Neurospora crassa OR74A: one gene and its partner. The protein of the gene in region 1 interacts with the protein of each later gene in a pairwise test. Links are inferred from orthologs where the notes say so. Each region holds a gene or a part of one and is shown in the gene's direction. Other genes may lie near its edges.

What was found. The genes of interacting proteins can lie anywhere in the genome.
Region 2: the proteins of NCU03952 (region 1) and NCU03808 interact in binary tests that used the Saccharomyces cerevisiae proteins (3 or more experiments, as listed by UniProt). The link is inferred for Neurospora crassa OR74A from reciprocal best matches to the Saccharomyces cerevisiae genes MPP10 and ECM16.

What each region holds. Positions count from the first base shown.
Region 1 is NC_026506.1:2,219,505-2,226,542, forward strand, and holds NCU03952 (U3 small nucleolar ribonucleoprotein Mpp10), read left to right. Parts: upstream 1-2,868; 5' UTR 2,869-3,277; coding exon 3,278-5,656; 3' UTR 5,657-6,109; downstream 6,110-7,038. UniProt on the Saccharomyces cerevisiae protein: Involved in nucleolar processing of pre-18S ribosomal RNA. Required for the early cleavages at sites A0, A1 and A2 during 18S ribosomal pre-RNA processing.
Region 2 is NC_026505.1:2,473,306-2,480,246, forward strand, and holds NCU03808 (pre-mRNA-splicing factor ATP-dependent RNA helicase PRP16), read left to right. Parts: upstream 1-2,259; 5' UTR 2,260-2,328; coding exon 2,329-6,105; 3' UTR 6,106-6,181; downstream 6,182-6,941. Other genes in the region: cyh-2 (60S ribosomal protein L28), read right to left, coding at 1-72, 200-227, 291-315, 378-407, 470-486, 552-590, 649-651; NCU03807 (hypothetical protein), read right to left, coding at 1,351-1,641, 1,703-1,855; NCU03809 (hypothetical protein), read right to left, coding at 6,614-6,941. UniProt on the Saccharomyces cerevisiae protein: Probable ATP-binding RNA helicase. Required for 18S rRNA synthesis. May play a role in restructuring of the pre-rRNA.

The sequences.
Region 1 (7,038 bases):
TGGGCTCTTTACACTACACTACGACGTAGCAGAAGTGGAGATGGAACCAACTGAGTTTGTGGTGTCCATCCTCTGCAACCATGTCCGTCAATGAGGTTTTCTTTTTGTTGGTTATCTTCAGGAACTTGCTTCAGTTCCTGGCCTCCCGTCTTTACCGTCCCGGAATATGGTTTTTGATTGGCACGGTTCCTTAATAGTTCCACCCTGGTCTAGAATCATCGGCCCTGTCATAGTTCAGTAAGCAGGCACGTGCTTGGGGCTGCCCGTGTCGTTGCCCGGGAAGCTACCCTCGGGAACGGTTATGGTAGACCTGCAATCTCTCCCCTTCTTTGTTCGGCTAAAAGGCACGCGACCAAGTGTTCTGTGTGTTTACCTTATCCACAAGCGAGCGTTTGTCGAGGATGAGTCTGGGCTATCACCAACTCGTTTATTATTGATCTACAAATTCATGCTAAAAGTTTTGTTAGCGCGAGACGTACAACGTCTTCAAACGAGGAAGAGAATCACTGACTATGGCGCTGCTATTGGTCTAGAAACACGCCAAAACCCGACCCGGATAAAGCGACTGTGCTCGATTCCATATGGCCTGTGTGGGTCCCATACAAATCGACAGCCAAGCTCAGCCAAGACCCAAAGCTTGGCATCTGTCGCGCCAACTTTCGCGACCGCAAGTCACCACCAAAGTCACCACCAAATGTCATTATCTTAACAACGATAATAAGAACTTAAAACCACCTTTTTTTAAAGCGTTGGACTTTCATTCACACGCAGGGGCCTCTCACCGGCCCCCTACACCCCCGGAACTAACCCTAACGCCTAACCCTAACCACTAACCCTAACCACTAATCTAGGTTACCGGGAGGTGACATGTGCCTTGGCCCACACAGGCTGTTTGGAATCGCGCACAGTCGCTTTATCCGGGTCGGCCAAAACCACCTCCAGGGTAACAACGATTGATCGTCCTCCACCAGGTTCCCCATACACACCCATTATGGTTGCGTAACTGGCTCGTCCAGGACAAAAAGAAAAACATGGTCTCCAGAACATGATGTCAACGGCATATTGACAAAACACCTACGAGTTTGTAAGGCTGTAGACACTTGTTGAGAACCATAAATGACCATGAAGACGAATAAAAGAGGTAAAATTAACGAGAGGAAATGTCATGATTCTGGTCTGGGCCGGCTGCAGTCTCTTTCATTTTGTCTCGACCGAGGTTAGGTAGGTACGGTACTCAAGCATTTGCACCGTGGTCCTACCAAGAGAAAACGATCGAGTTGCCACTGGTACAGCTGCAAGACGGCTCCCAACAGCATAGATGGGGTGGGGCGACGGACAGGTGCTCTTGACAAGTCGTGTTGTGAAGACCTGTTGTGGGATGCAGTTTCTCCTCTCACCCTCACATAGAGCCTGCCAGAAGGGAGGCGGATATGGAAAATAGAAAAGAATGAATCGGCCCGTCCGGATTTTCACAAGGAGATCTCCTTCGCTTGACAAATTAGGTAACATCCGGCAACTCAAAAGTATTTCCCGTCCCTCCATCTCGACGTATCTTCCAGCTCTGTAACCAAACAGTGTGCGATTGGCAGTTACATAGTGTGAGCCAACCGAAACTTCTCTCGCGACCTCCTGTACGACTTTGGAAATGTTGCCGTTAACTTGGCCATTCTACTCTAGGTAGGTAGCAGAGATAGATGGTGTGATGCGATTGGACCGAGCAACGCCACTTAGCGATCAAGTTCATGTGTCGTACTATACAGGAGGCCACTGACACTTGATGGGATCCTCGCCGTTCACGACAGCAAGTTAGTGGTTACATAGCAAACATCTTCACCGTGAGGTTCACAGTTATTTCCCGGCGAACATGAAAAAGAGGTCATATTGAGAGCACGCAACGCACGACCATAGAGGCTGGGATCACCAAAGCCACCATCGCCCTCACATTGACCTCGGCAACCGCTAAAGAACATGATACAATTCCCTGGCCTGGGATACGAAGGTCTTGAGTATCACTCGCAGCTCGGCTCGGCGGGACACTCTCCCGCGAGTTGCATTCAATGAAGGCTTAGACGGTCCAGACCCTAATGCAGCACGTCAACGCTGCTGTCGTATTTTGAAAGAATACCTCATGGTCCGTCAAAATTCTCACGGGCGATACCATATGCATAGGGATGTGGCTTGTGAAGGAACTTCAACAAGTGTTATGACTTGCAGCATCTTTCCCCGAAGGTGCGCAAATAACACCCTTACATTTCTACTATGTAATAAGAGCTTTCTCTGCACGTTATCCAGACCATGAAGAAGAGCCGGCTGGGTAAGTAGCCTACCTCTACAGAAAATAGTCCATCAACGTCTGTCGCAGAGATCTCATTACGATGTTGAAAAGAACACGAGAAGCATACTGTAATGTAGCTAGTATGAGGCAAACCTAGCGCTCTTCCTCAATGGGGTTAATCGTTGGTTTAACATTTTACAGTTCTTGCACAATTTAATTACCTTTTACCGTTTGACAAGAAACTTCCAGTTACGACGAAAGTGAAGCGGCGAAAGATACAATAGACTATGTACGAGCTGATGGGATTGATAGGGTAGTCTGGAATTTTAGATAAGGAAGTGCTGATAACAAGCTAGGTGCCTGTGTCGAAACGGCGACTTCACCTATCCAACAGCACTGGAGATCGTTGCGTGATTGCTTACTGAGTTTCCAGTAACTTCAGAGTAACTCGCTAGCGTATGCTATATTTAAAAAAAGGTCATTGTGAATTCATCCCCTCTCTCAAGCTTGATGTCGAGCATCTCCTTTGAGACTGCATGCACTTTGTGGTTTGTTTACTTGACATTGTCATCCGATTATAAGTGTTAAGGCAACCTCGTCTTATAGCGGTGCACCGCCCTGAAGCTTAACAACAAGAGAAGTGGGACCTACTTCCATTTCCAGAGAGCAGAATCACCCATCATTGGTCAATTCACAGCCAGCCCCATAAGCTGGTGCGGGGACGCCTGCCTCCACGCTTCGCCGTTTCCTGGACCTTGGAGAGCGCTATGGCAGAAAAAATTTTGGTCCATCAATATCGCCGGCTGGCAACCAAACATCGTCAGGTCGAACTTTTTTTTGTTTTGGTACGGGCAACGGCAAACACCGACGCCCTGCCATTTCTTAGTCAAGCGTCCATATTGAACCCTCAAGTCAGACACTTGTATGACAAGGCCAGCCTCGATACCCTAGCCTTGATTGATCTTCTTACAGCATTAGTCCAACCCTACCTAAAAAACAGACATGGCAGCTGGCAGCATAACCTCTTCCGTAACCTCGACATCCCAAACAATCACCCACGACCCCTCCACACACAACAGCGTCATGGCCGCTACCCTCGCCGCATCGTCGAGCGGCAGCACCTCTCCTTCGACAATTGCCAACAACCCCGTCGTCGCCTCCTTCCTCTCGGCCCTGGCCGACGAGTCCAACCGCCACGTCTTCCTGCAGCCGCCCTCGACCCTTCCCGCCGGATCCCTCCTGCTCGCCAAGGAGACCCTCGACGCGCTCGCCTCGCAGGTCAGTGACCACCAGCAGGCAAAGCTGAAAGAGATCGCGGCCACCATCGGTGGAAAGAAGCGCAAGCGTGAGGCTGGCTATGACAAGAATGCCGTGCTCAAGATTCGCAAGCTGCACGTCGACGACGGCTTCGAGACGGAGCAGATTTGGCAGCAGGCCAAGAAGATCATTGCCAGCGCCACAAAGGAGGCTGGCGATGTGCTGAAGGAGCTGGAGGAGAACGGGATTGTGGGCACCGGCGAGGAACAAGAGAAGACCATTGAGTTTGGAGAGGATGGGTTTGAGCTTGGTTCTGATGAGGAGGAGGAGGACGATGAGGAGGATGCTGATAGCGAATCTGGTTCTGGCTCTGAAGGAGAAGAGGATGAGGAGGATGACGAAGAAGAATTAGAAGGAGAAGAGGGCAGCCAGATCGACGACGATGAAGAAATCGAGATCGATGGCGAAGAGGTTGAATTCTCGGACGAAGATGGAGAAGGAGAGTTTGATGAGGAGGAGGAGGAAGAAGAAGAAGAAGAAGAAGAAGAAGAAGAGGAAGAGGATGCGCCAGAACTTGTCGAGGATCCCAACGGCCTCAACGACGGCTTCTTCTCAATAGACGACTTCAACCGGCAGACACAGTTGTGGGAGGACGCGGATGCCCGTGCGGACCCCAACGTCGATGCCGACAGCGACGACGAACAGCTAGACTGGCACGCCGATCCTTTCGCGACAAAGCCAAAATCAAAGAAGGGCAAGAGCGACAAGAAGAAGGACGAAGACCAGGATGAGGACGACGTCGACATGGGCGATGAATCCGAAGACGACGAGGCCCTCGAGGCTGCTGCCGCCGCCCACGCCAAGAAACTCAAGGGCAAGAAGAACGTGGAGCAGCTCGAGGACGATGGCGACGATCTCGGCCTTACAGATGGTGTTCTCGGTATGGACATGGACCTTACCGCCAACGACATTTACTACAAGGACTTCTTCGCGCCACCTCAAAAGAAGAAGACCGGCAACCAAAGGAAAGGAGGCTATTTCCCCAAGAAACTTGAGCAGCCAGATGAGGCCGATATGGAGAGAGCCGAGAATGATGTGCGCCGCGATCTCTTCGACGACATCTCGGAGAATGAAGATGAAGATAAGCTCTCGGATCTTGATGCTGGTGATCCGAGATCTCGCCGGTCCGCCCACGAGCGCAGACAAGCCAAGATTGCCGAGGAGATCCGCAGGCTCGAGTCTGAGCTAGTTGCCAAGCGCGCCTGGACTCTGTCCGGTGAGGCTTCCGCGCAAGCTCGTCCCATGAACTCGCTCCTGGAGGAAGACCTCGAGTTTGAGCATGTCGGAAAGCCTGTCCCCGTCATTACCGAGGAGGTTTCCGAGACGATTGAGGCGCTCATCAAACGCCGCATTCTTGCCAACGAGTTCGACGAGGTTCTCAGGAGACGTCCTGACACCCTCAATAACCCCAACAACGCGCGCCGCGGTCTCGTTGAGATCGACGACACCAAGGGCAAGCAGTCTCTCGCCGAGATCTACGAGGAGGAGCACATCAAGAAGGCCAACCCGGACGAGTACGTCAGCGCTTCGGACGAGAAGCTCACGCGCGACGAGGCCGAGATCAAGAACATGTGGAAGGACATCTGCGCCAAGCTCGACGCCCTCAGCAGCTGGCACTACAAGCCTAAACCCGCCGCACCCACCATCAGCGTTGTCACCGACGTCGCCACCGTCGCCATGGAGGACGCCATGCCCACCACGGCCCAGGGTGTGTCGGGTGGCGAGAGCACGCTCGCGCCCCAGGAGGTGTACGCCCCCGGCAAGGACTCAGTCGAGAAGGGCGAGGTCGTGGCCAAGAGCGGCCTGCCGATTGCCAAGGAGGAGATGAGCCGCGAGGAGAAGGCTAGGAGACGCAGACGCGAGAAGGAGCGCATCCGCAAGGCCGGCGGCCTGGATGCGAACAAGAACATCAGCAAGGGTGCCCAGGAACGCAAGGAGACGATGAGCCAGCTCAAGAAGGGCGGTGTCAAGGTTATTAACCGGAAGGGTGAGACGGTTGGGTTGGATGGCAAGAAGATCGCGGAGCAGAAGGGTCCTACGTCGAGTGGTGCCTTCAAGCTTTAAAGGTCGGGTTGTTAGACGAGGGATAGACGTAGGAAGAAGATGGATGATACCCTGATGGGTTGGACGGGTGGGCAGTCTTGGCTAAGGGCGATCTGTAAAGGTCTTTTTCTTTTGTATGGAATAGGTACATAATTGGGAGTTCAAAAACTATGCATGAGTTTGTTTTTCATCGGCCGTCAGCCGGTATACAATGCTCAACTGTTCACGTTCAACATTGTCGAAGATGATTCTTGTGTGCCTAATATTATGGAGTCAGTACAACAACTAATCCTGGCCCTCTCCAACCTCATTGCTCTGTTTCCCCTCATGCTTTCCTTCTGTTACCCGTCACTATTCTCCGTGTGATCTTTCCTCCAATTCAGCCCAGATCATAGCGACTCATAACTTGGTACCTACCTCTACCTCCACAGGTCTACAAAGTGAAAAAATGCAAAATCAGTCTAGCTATCCACCCTCAGCCAAATTGGTAACTCTCCATTTTCATTACATCTTATTAGTATTTGGGATTGCCTACCCCTACTACTAGCTTGCCCTTTATCAAAAAAAAAAAAAAAAAAAAAAAAAAAAAAAAAAAAAAAAAAAAAAAAAAAAAAAAAAGAAAAGAAAAGAAAGAAAAAAAATAAAAGGAAAAAAAAAGAAACAAAAAAAAAGGAAAAAGGAAAAAGTTCCCTCTACCTTGTTCAAGGCTATCTGTACCCCGGACCTCAGGTTTTGGTTGATTAAGAAGAAGTGAAGAGAGAAGTGAAGAGAGAAGTGAAGAGAGAAGTGAAGAGAGAAGTGAAGAGAGAAGTGAAGAGAGAAGTGAAAAGGGGATAACCCGAGGCTGAAGAGACCATGAAGAGACAGTTAAGCATGTTGTACACTACCTCTTATTCTGTTTGAAACCGTCTTCTTCGTCCGCCCTAATAAGACCTAGTGCCAGACGAACTGTCCAGACTATGTTTGGTATCATTCTACATCCATCATCCGCGTCCACCTCTGCAATCCACCACTGGCTTCTTGATATAGTTTGTTCATTTTTGGATTTATGAGCATGTACCCAAAATTGAAGGGGTAATCACATAGATATACTAGTTCTGGGGAACAGCTCGTGAGCCATTGACTTCTCGAAGACGGTCCGGAGATGTGAATACATACCCATATACGACAGACCATTTGCAGTCCCCTCTCGATCACGATGACTTGTTTGGGAGGGCCAAGGACATATGTGTTTCGAAAATCTCTCCTTGTTTTCATAGCAAGGATTGGCTACTTGAGTCTCTTATGAGGACTTTACAGTCGAACAATGGGTCGTTTTCTGGCCCTCGTCTCACTTGCCAACTGACTCGAGCATATACAGCAAAAGTACACAGTCACACGTCTTGAAGCAAAACAAAGTACAA
Region 2 (6,941 bases), on another chromosome or scaffold:
TGGGGGCCCACTGGTGGTTGCGGAGGAGGTGGAAGTGCCTCATACCGACCTTACCGAAGTAACCAGGGTGGTCTATCCGTCATCGTCAGCGTTTATTTTCATTATATCGAGGGGCAAGGCCTGGTCGCATGTCGGAGAAGTGAGGTTGAACCATGCGCCCTCCAACATGCGCCGACCGTTTATTTTCGGGGTTGCGTACACTTATCGAGGTTGGTACGGTGGTGGTGCTTATCGTCGGGTTAGTATCGCGTGTTTTCGAGATCGAGTCGTTGGAGTTTCTATCGGCATACCTGACCACCGGCCATACCACGACCACTGTTCCCATTGTTAGCATCATATTTCCCCCCCTTCGAATCTGCAGAAGCGGCGGTACGTACCCTGGATGCTTTCTGTGCTTGCCGACACGGCTGGAATAATGCTGTCAATACTCGTTCGTGTTTATCGGTCGGTTGATCGGTTGGCGACATACCCCTTACCGGCGGAAACCTATAAAATCACTACAGTCAGTCATCTGTCGAATCGGCGACGACAAAGCTCGAGGGGGCGCTTACATGTCCGCGGTGCTTTCTTGTCTTGGAAAACCGAGTAGGCTACATAATAACTGAATCAGCGTTTCGTCCTGCGATAGTCGTGCAGCAATTGCCATACCATGTTGTCTGCTGGTGGTGCCGATGAAGCTCGTTCTGTCGACGTCGGTTGATGCTTCTAAGAGACGCTTCACGGGTCTCGTACAAGTCAAATTTAGGGCTGTGTATTTTTTTTGGTGGGCACAAGTGGTGGTCCAAGCTCCGGGCTTGAGCCGCACCACGCACTCAAGCCACACCGTTCCTCTCGCTGCAATTGCTGTGTGCCAAGGCCAGCCTACCAGCTCGACAAGCCACATATTTCCGCTTCATCAAGCAGGGTTAGGGTCTATGGCTAAGCCTTGTCCCTCAGCTCGTCCACTTGAGCCCCTCTTGCCTTCAACATCATCCTATCATCCTATCATCCTGTTTGGATCCTTGCTCGAAATTGTCGATCTGCCTGGAGTCGCTTTTCGTTTGACACACATCTTTTGTGTTGCTGCAAGATCGGGCTCACTGCCCTCCATTGTTCTGTGTTCTACATCTCTAGGATTAAACTGGCCAGCAGCCCAGCCATCGTTCCCCTGTCTTCCCAGAACCTGCCTTAAGACAGACCAGCCCTCACTTACATCTTCTCAGCCGACCACATCCACCGAGTTGCGAACATGCTCATTCCCGATAACCACACATTTGGTTTCTACTCCCCGCTTCACCAGAACTGCTCATCGCGATAGCCTCAACTCGAACTTGTTACTGCGAGATATCGTTCACTCCATGACATTTACTATTAGAGGACTTGTTGTACCAACTCGACCACGTCATAGAAGGAGTCACTAGTAGTGGTGTCGACCTTCTCCAGGCCCAAACCAAGCAACAAAGACCGCTGCTCATTGGGGTTGCGCAAAGTCAGGAGACTGGCAATTTGACTGGCATAAAGCTGGCCCATGGTCTCCCTCTCCGCATTTCCACCTCCAAGAAGAGTCGTTGCTGTTAAATGTTCTGATGGTAACAGGCTACCGGCGCCAGGCAGAGCCATGTCTACTGACGCGGAAGAAGGTGCGGCTAGTTGTACTTGGACCTAGAACATGGTATGTTAGTAGACTGTAAGTGGGATGGCGTTCGGGCGCTCTTGAACCTACCCACTGAGCAAGGCGCCCACCTTGAGAAATGGTGACCATGATCTTGTCCGAGAAGTTCATTGATGAAACCTCAGTTTCCACTCCGTTGACAAGCCCAGTTGCCTGCCTGGAAGGTGACGGGAATGGCTCTTGCCTGACTGCGTCCTCAGACATGGTGAGTTCTGGATGTGGTGAAGTATGGACAGTTGCAAGACTCGAAAAACCGCGTGTGTTTCAAAGGATAAGACCGTAGGGGGATAACTTCGGCTTCTGTACTCCTGGTCGGATAGTACTCTCTGATGTCTCTACTGCGTTCATATTCAGAGTTTAGACGCGGGACTCCATCGTGATGTTTGTTGATGGAGCCGGAGTGGGCTGGGCTGCAGAGTTCAGGATGGACCCACGAAACATAGCAAACTGTACGCGCACTGTAGCTGGGTTACTTCAGTTGCTGTCCTGGACCCTCACAGGCCCCCAAAACGTGGGGTGCCACATTTAGCGCAGAAATTCTGCCAGGCGGACAAGATTTAATCTTCAAATCTTCAGGGTACTTGGTGACTTTCAGTTCGTTGCATTCTGCCGTCGCGACACCGGCCCTCATTTCTGCCGTCACTGCTCGCCTCGAGCACACCCGATAAAACAACAACATGGCTGTCATAGACGGGAAGTTCGTGCCGCGTCAGCGCAAGCGCAAGCAGCTTGATCGCCAGCGGTCGAGGAGTAAGGGAACACAAGACCCCGAAGACACCAACGTCCTCGAGATCGCTCCTGGACAGGAAACCACCACGGATGCCGAAAAGAAGAAGACCGAGCTACGGGAGGAATTGAGGCCTGCGGGTGTCAAGGTCAGCAGCAAGAAGGCCAAGAGACTCGAAAAGTACATCGACACAAAGCTCAAGAAGGACGAGAACCGCGAACTCCTGGCCAAGCTTGCCGCCAACAAGATCGACACCTCCCTATTCTCAAGCACAAAATCACTAGGCCAAACAAAATTGACCAAAAAGGAGGAGCTCAGCCGGCTTGTCAAGGAAGCAAAAGCTGGACTTATAACAGAGAAGGAGGCGGCCAAGAAACTTTACGAAAAGCGAGAGGTGAAGGAAGGTGCACCAGTACCAAAGCCTAAACCCACGGTCGACGAGGATTCAGAGGGCTCGGAAGATGAGCAGGACTCGGCAGCCGAGAAGCCAAGGAGCGCGCCAGCGGAAACAAGCGAGCCTACACCAGTACAAGCGACGACATCGTCAACAAGCCTGCCAGTACCTGTCGGTGCTGGTCTCAAGCGCCCCTTAGAGGTCGACGAGTCAGGACGCCCAATACTTGCCAAGAGACAAAAGAGAGGAGGTGTGAAAACGAAGCACAACTTTACATCATCGCAAGCTCCCGCAGTCATTCCTGTGCCGGAAGTGGTAGAATGGGACGGTTTCAGTTCGGAGGGCGAAGAGGGTTCAGACGATGAAGAGTCTGAGGGTAGTGGTTCAGGCAGCGAGGAAGAAGGCAGTGAAGAGGAGGAGGAGGAATCGGGAGAAGAGGATGGATCTGAAGAGAACGGAGAGGGTTCCGAAGATGATTCAGAAGACGATGATTCTGCGGAAGAATCCGACGAGGACATGGAGGACGCCGAGGAGGACAAGAAAGCAAAGTCTTCAGCCTTCAAGGCTTGGGCGCATCAGGCGAGGAACGAAGCTTTGGGTTACAAGCCTGCTGAATCAAGCATTCTCGAGATACCGAAACCTGCCAACTTTACGCCTCGGCCGATCGAACAAGAGCCTCTGCCTATCGAGCTGCAACCAACAAAGAACGATTCCCGCAAGGCTTTCGCCGTGGTAGTTACCAGGACACCCGAGATCCAGGAAACTCGTTTCAGGTTACCGGTTGTTGCAGAGGAACAGAAGATTATGGAGGCCATTCACGACAACGACATTGTCATCATTTGCGGTGCCACCGGTTCCGGCAAGACCACGCAGGTTCCCCAGTTCCTCTTCGAGTCCGGTTACGGTGTTCCGGATGGACCTACTCCTGGCATGATTGGTGTCACCCAGCCGAGACGTGTCGCTGCTGTCAGTATGTCGAAGCGTGTTGGCGAAGAAATGGGAGACTATTCACATGTGGTTTCCTACCAAATCAGATTCGAAGGCACCGTTGACTCCAAGACGGCCATCAAGTTCATGACGGATGGTGTCTTGCTTCGTGAGGCGGCCATCGATATTGCTCTTCGCAAGTACTCTGCCATCATCATTGATGAAGCCCACGAGAGAAGCGTCAATACCGATATCCTGATTGCGATGCTCAGCAGAGTGGTCAAGCTTAGGAGAGAGTTGGCGGAGGAAGACCCCACGATCAAGCCTCTCAAGCTGATCATCATGTCCGCCACCCTCAGGGTTGAGGAATTCACCCAAAACTCTAACTTGTTCCACACCACTCCTCGCATCATTGAGGTAGAAGGCCGTGAGCATGCTGTTACCATGCATTTTGCCAAAAAGACAAACCACGACTACGTTGATGAGGCATTCCGCAAGATTTGCAGGGGCCACAGGAAACTGCCCCCTGGTGGCATGCTTGTGTTCATGACCGGTCAGGGTGAAATTGCCCAGCTCAGCAAGCGGTTGAAGGCGCGTTTTGGTGGCGGTATGAACACCGCCAGCACCACCAAGGTGCGGATTTCTGCGAAGGAGGCACCCATGGAAGTCGAAGACATCGACTTTGGCGACGTTGAGGATGACCGTAACATCAACGACAGAGACGATGACGATATCTCCATTGCGTCGGACGAGGAGGAAGACAAGGAGTTCGAGATTGAGGACCAAGAATCTGGTACAGGGCCATTGAAGATGCATATCCTACCTCTCTTCTCTTTGCTCCCCACGAAAGAGCAGATGAAGGTGTTTGAGCCGCCCCCAGAGGGCCACCGTCTCGTCATCCTGGCTACCAACGTCGCTGAAACATCCTTGACAATTCCCGGCATCAAGTACGTTTTCGACACTGGAAGGTCGAAGGAGAGAAAGTTCGATCCTGTCAGTGGCGTCCAGAGTTTCGAGATTGGGTGGATCAGCAAGGCCAGCGCAAAGCAGCGTGCCGGTCGTGCCGGTCGTACCGGTCCGGGACACTGCTGGAGACTCTACTCCTCGGCCGTTTACGAAAGAGACTTCCCCGAGTTTTCAGAGCCCGAGTTGCTTCGCATGCCCATCGAGGGCGTTGTGCTCCAGCTCAAGTCCATGAACCTCCAGCATGTCGTCAACTTCCCCTTCCCCACGCCGCCACCGCGTGAGAGCTTGATCAAGGCCGAGAAGCTTTTGACCTACCTCAACGCCATCTCCCAAACTGGCCAAGTCACCCCCATCGGATCTACCATGTCCATCTTCCCGCTCTCTCCCCGCTTCGCTCGCATCCTTCTTATCGGACATCTCCACGACTGCCTTCCCTACACCGTTGCGCTCGTAGCCGGTCTCTCAGCCGGCGAGATCTACATTCCCGAGAACCAAGCCATCCCCGCCGCCGCCGTTCAAGAAGCCAAGAAGAGCAACGCCGGCGGTTCCGATGATGAAGACGACTCCCGCGCCGTCACTTTCCGCACTACCGAAGACGTCCTTGCTGACGACCGCCGCGCCAAGATCCGCGCCGCCTTCAACGCCGTCCACAAGAACTTCTGCTACCTAGACGACAAGTCCGACGCCATCAAGCTCCTCCAAGTCGTCGGCGAGTTCGCGCACGACCCCACGGAATCCTGGTGCGACTCCCACTTTGTTCGCTTCAAGGTCCTCAAAGAAATCAAACAACTCCAAAAACAGCTCATCGACCTTCTGAGAGCCAACATCCCCGCCTTCGCCAACCTTTCCGTGCCCGACACGCTTGACCCCCCCTCGCAAAAACAGGTGCAAGCCCTAAAACAAATGGTTGCCGCGGGTTTTATCGACCAAGTCGCCATCCGCGCTGACAAGGCCCCCATGCCGCCCGAGATGTACCGCAAGCCCAAGCGCGCTATTGACGTTCCTTACCTGCCCCTGATCCCGCTCGAAGGCGAGGACGGCAGGAAACTAGAACTGGAAGAAAAGCTCGTCTACATCCACCCCTCGTCTCCCTTAGCCCACTTGAGCGTGGACGAATGCCCGGACTACATCGTGTACGCCTATCTGCAAAAGGCAGGCAACACGGGCGCGGACGGGCAGAAGCGGGCCAAGACGAGGATGCATGCGCTGACGGACTTGACGGCGGGTCAGCTGGCGAGTTTGGCCAAGGGGACGCCGCTGATTACGTACGGAAAGCCAATTAAGGAGGTTAAGGGGTCAGAGAGTAAAGATGGGAAGGAGAGGGAGGTTTGGGTGGTGCCGTATTTGAGAGCGGAAGGGCAGGGAGGGATGGGCTGGCCATTGCCGGCCAGGAAGGTGAAGCAGAGGAAGGTGGCCGGGCAAGGGTGGGTTGTTGAGTAGAAAACATGGCTTTCCATGGCGTTTTATATAGATAAGGATTTCAGGAGACAGGTCTGGGTTTCAAGTAATCAATGTGTTTTGCTTGTTGGTTTTCTGCATAGACGTTCTCGTTTTGGTTTGATGATGTGAGCTTCGTTCTTTGCCTACGGGGAAGTGACGCTGTAAGAGTTGACTTCCTTCAACATATGGTACATCTGTGGTCCTCACAAAGTCTCTGTTTGGTGCCATTAAGCTAATGGATCAGGCGAGCTGAAACTGCTTCGTTGTTGCTACAAATACTCGCTATGTTTAAATATCATGGACATTACCAATCTGTCCACCATCCTAGGGTATCTAATCGCCGTACCTAAAGCCAAATGCCATCCAATCATGTGCAATCGACGCCGTTTTATCTGAATGCATCTCTTCATCAAGTCAAGTTCCTCCCATGTTACTCGCCGGCGCCCTCCCTCGCACCCTTCATGTTCTTCTTCTTCTTCTGTTGTGCTTTATCTCCCCCGTGCTCCTTCTAAGCCGCACCGGGGGTAGTGATGACATTTTTACTCTTCCTCCTCTTCGGCTTCGGCGGTCCACCGCCACCCGGCGTCTTCGGACTCTTGGTCTCCTTACCCGTCACGGCATTCGCATTCGCAGCCGCCGCCGCCGCCGCTCCTTTAGCAAGTGGATTACTTCCCGCGGCTCCCAAGCCCTTCGTGTTCAAAGCCGGCAGCGCGGCCGCCGCCTCTTTAAGGGTCAACGCGCTTTTGGTTTGCGTCTTGCGGCCGGTCGAGGTCAGGTGGAAGTCGCCCGGCTTGCCCGTGATAGGGTTCTCGTCCATATATTCGGTGCCGTAGCGT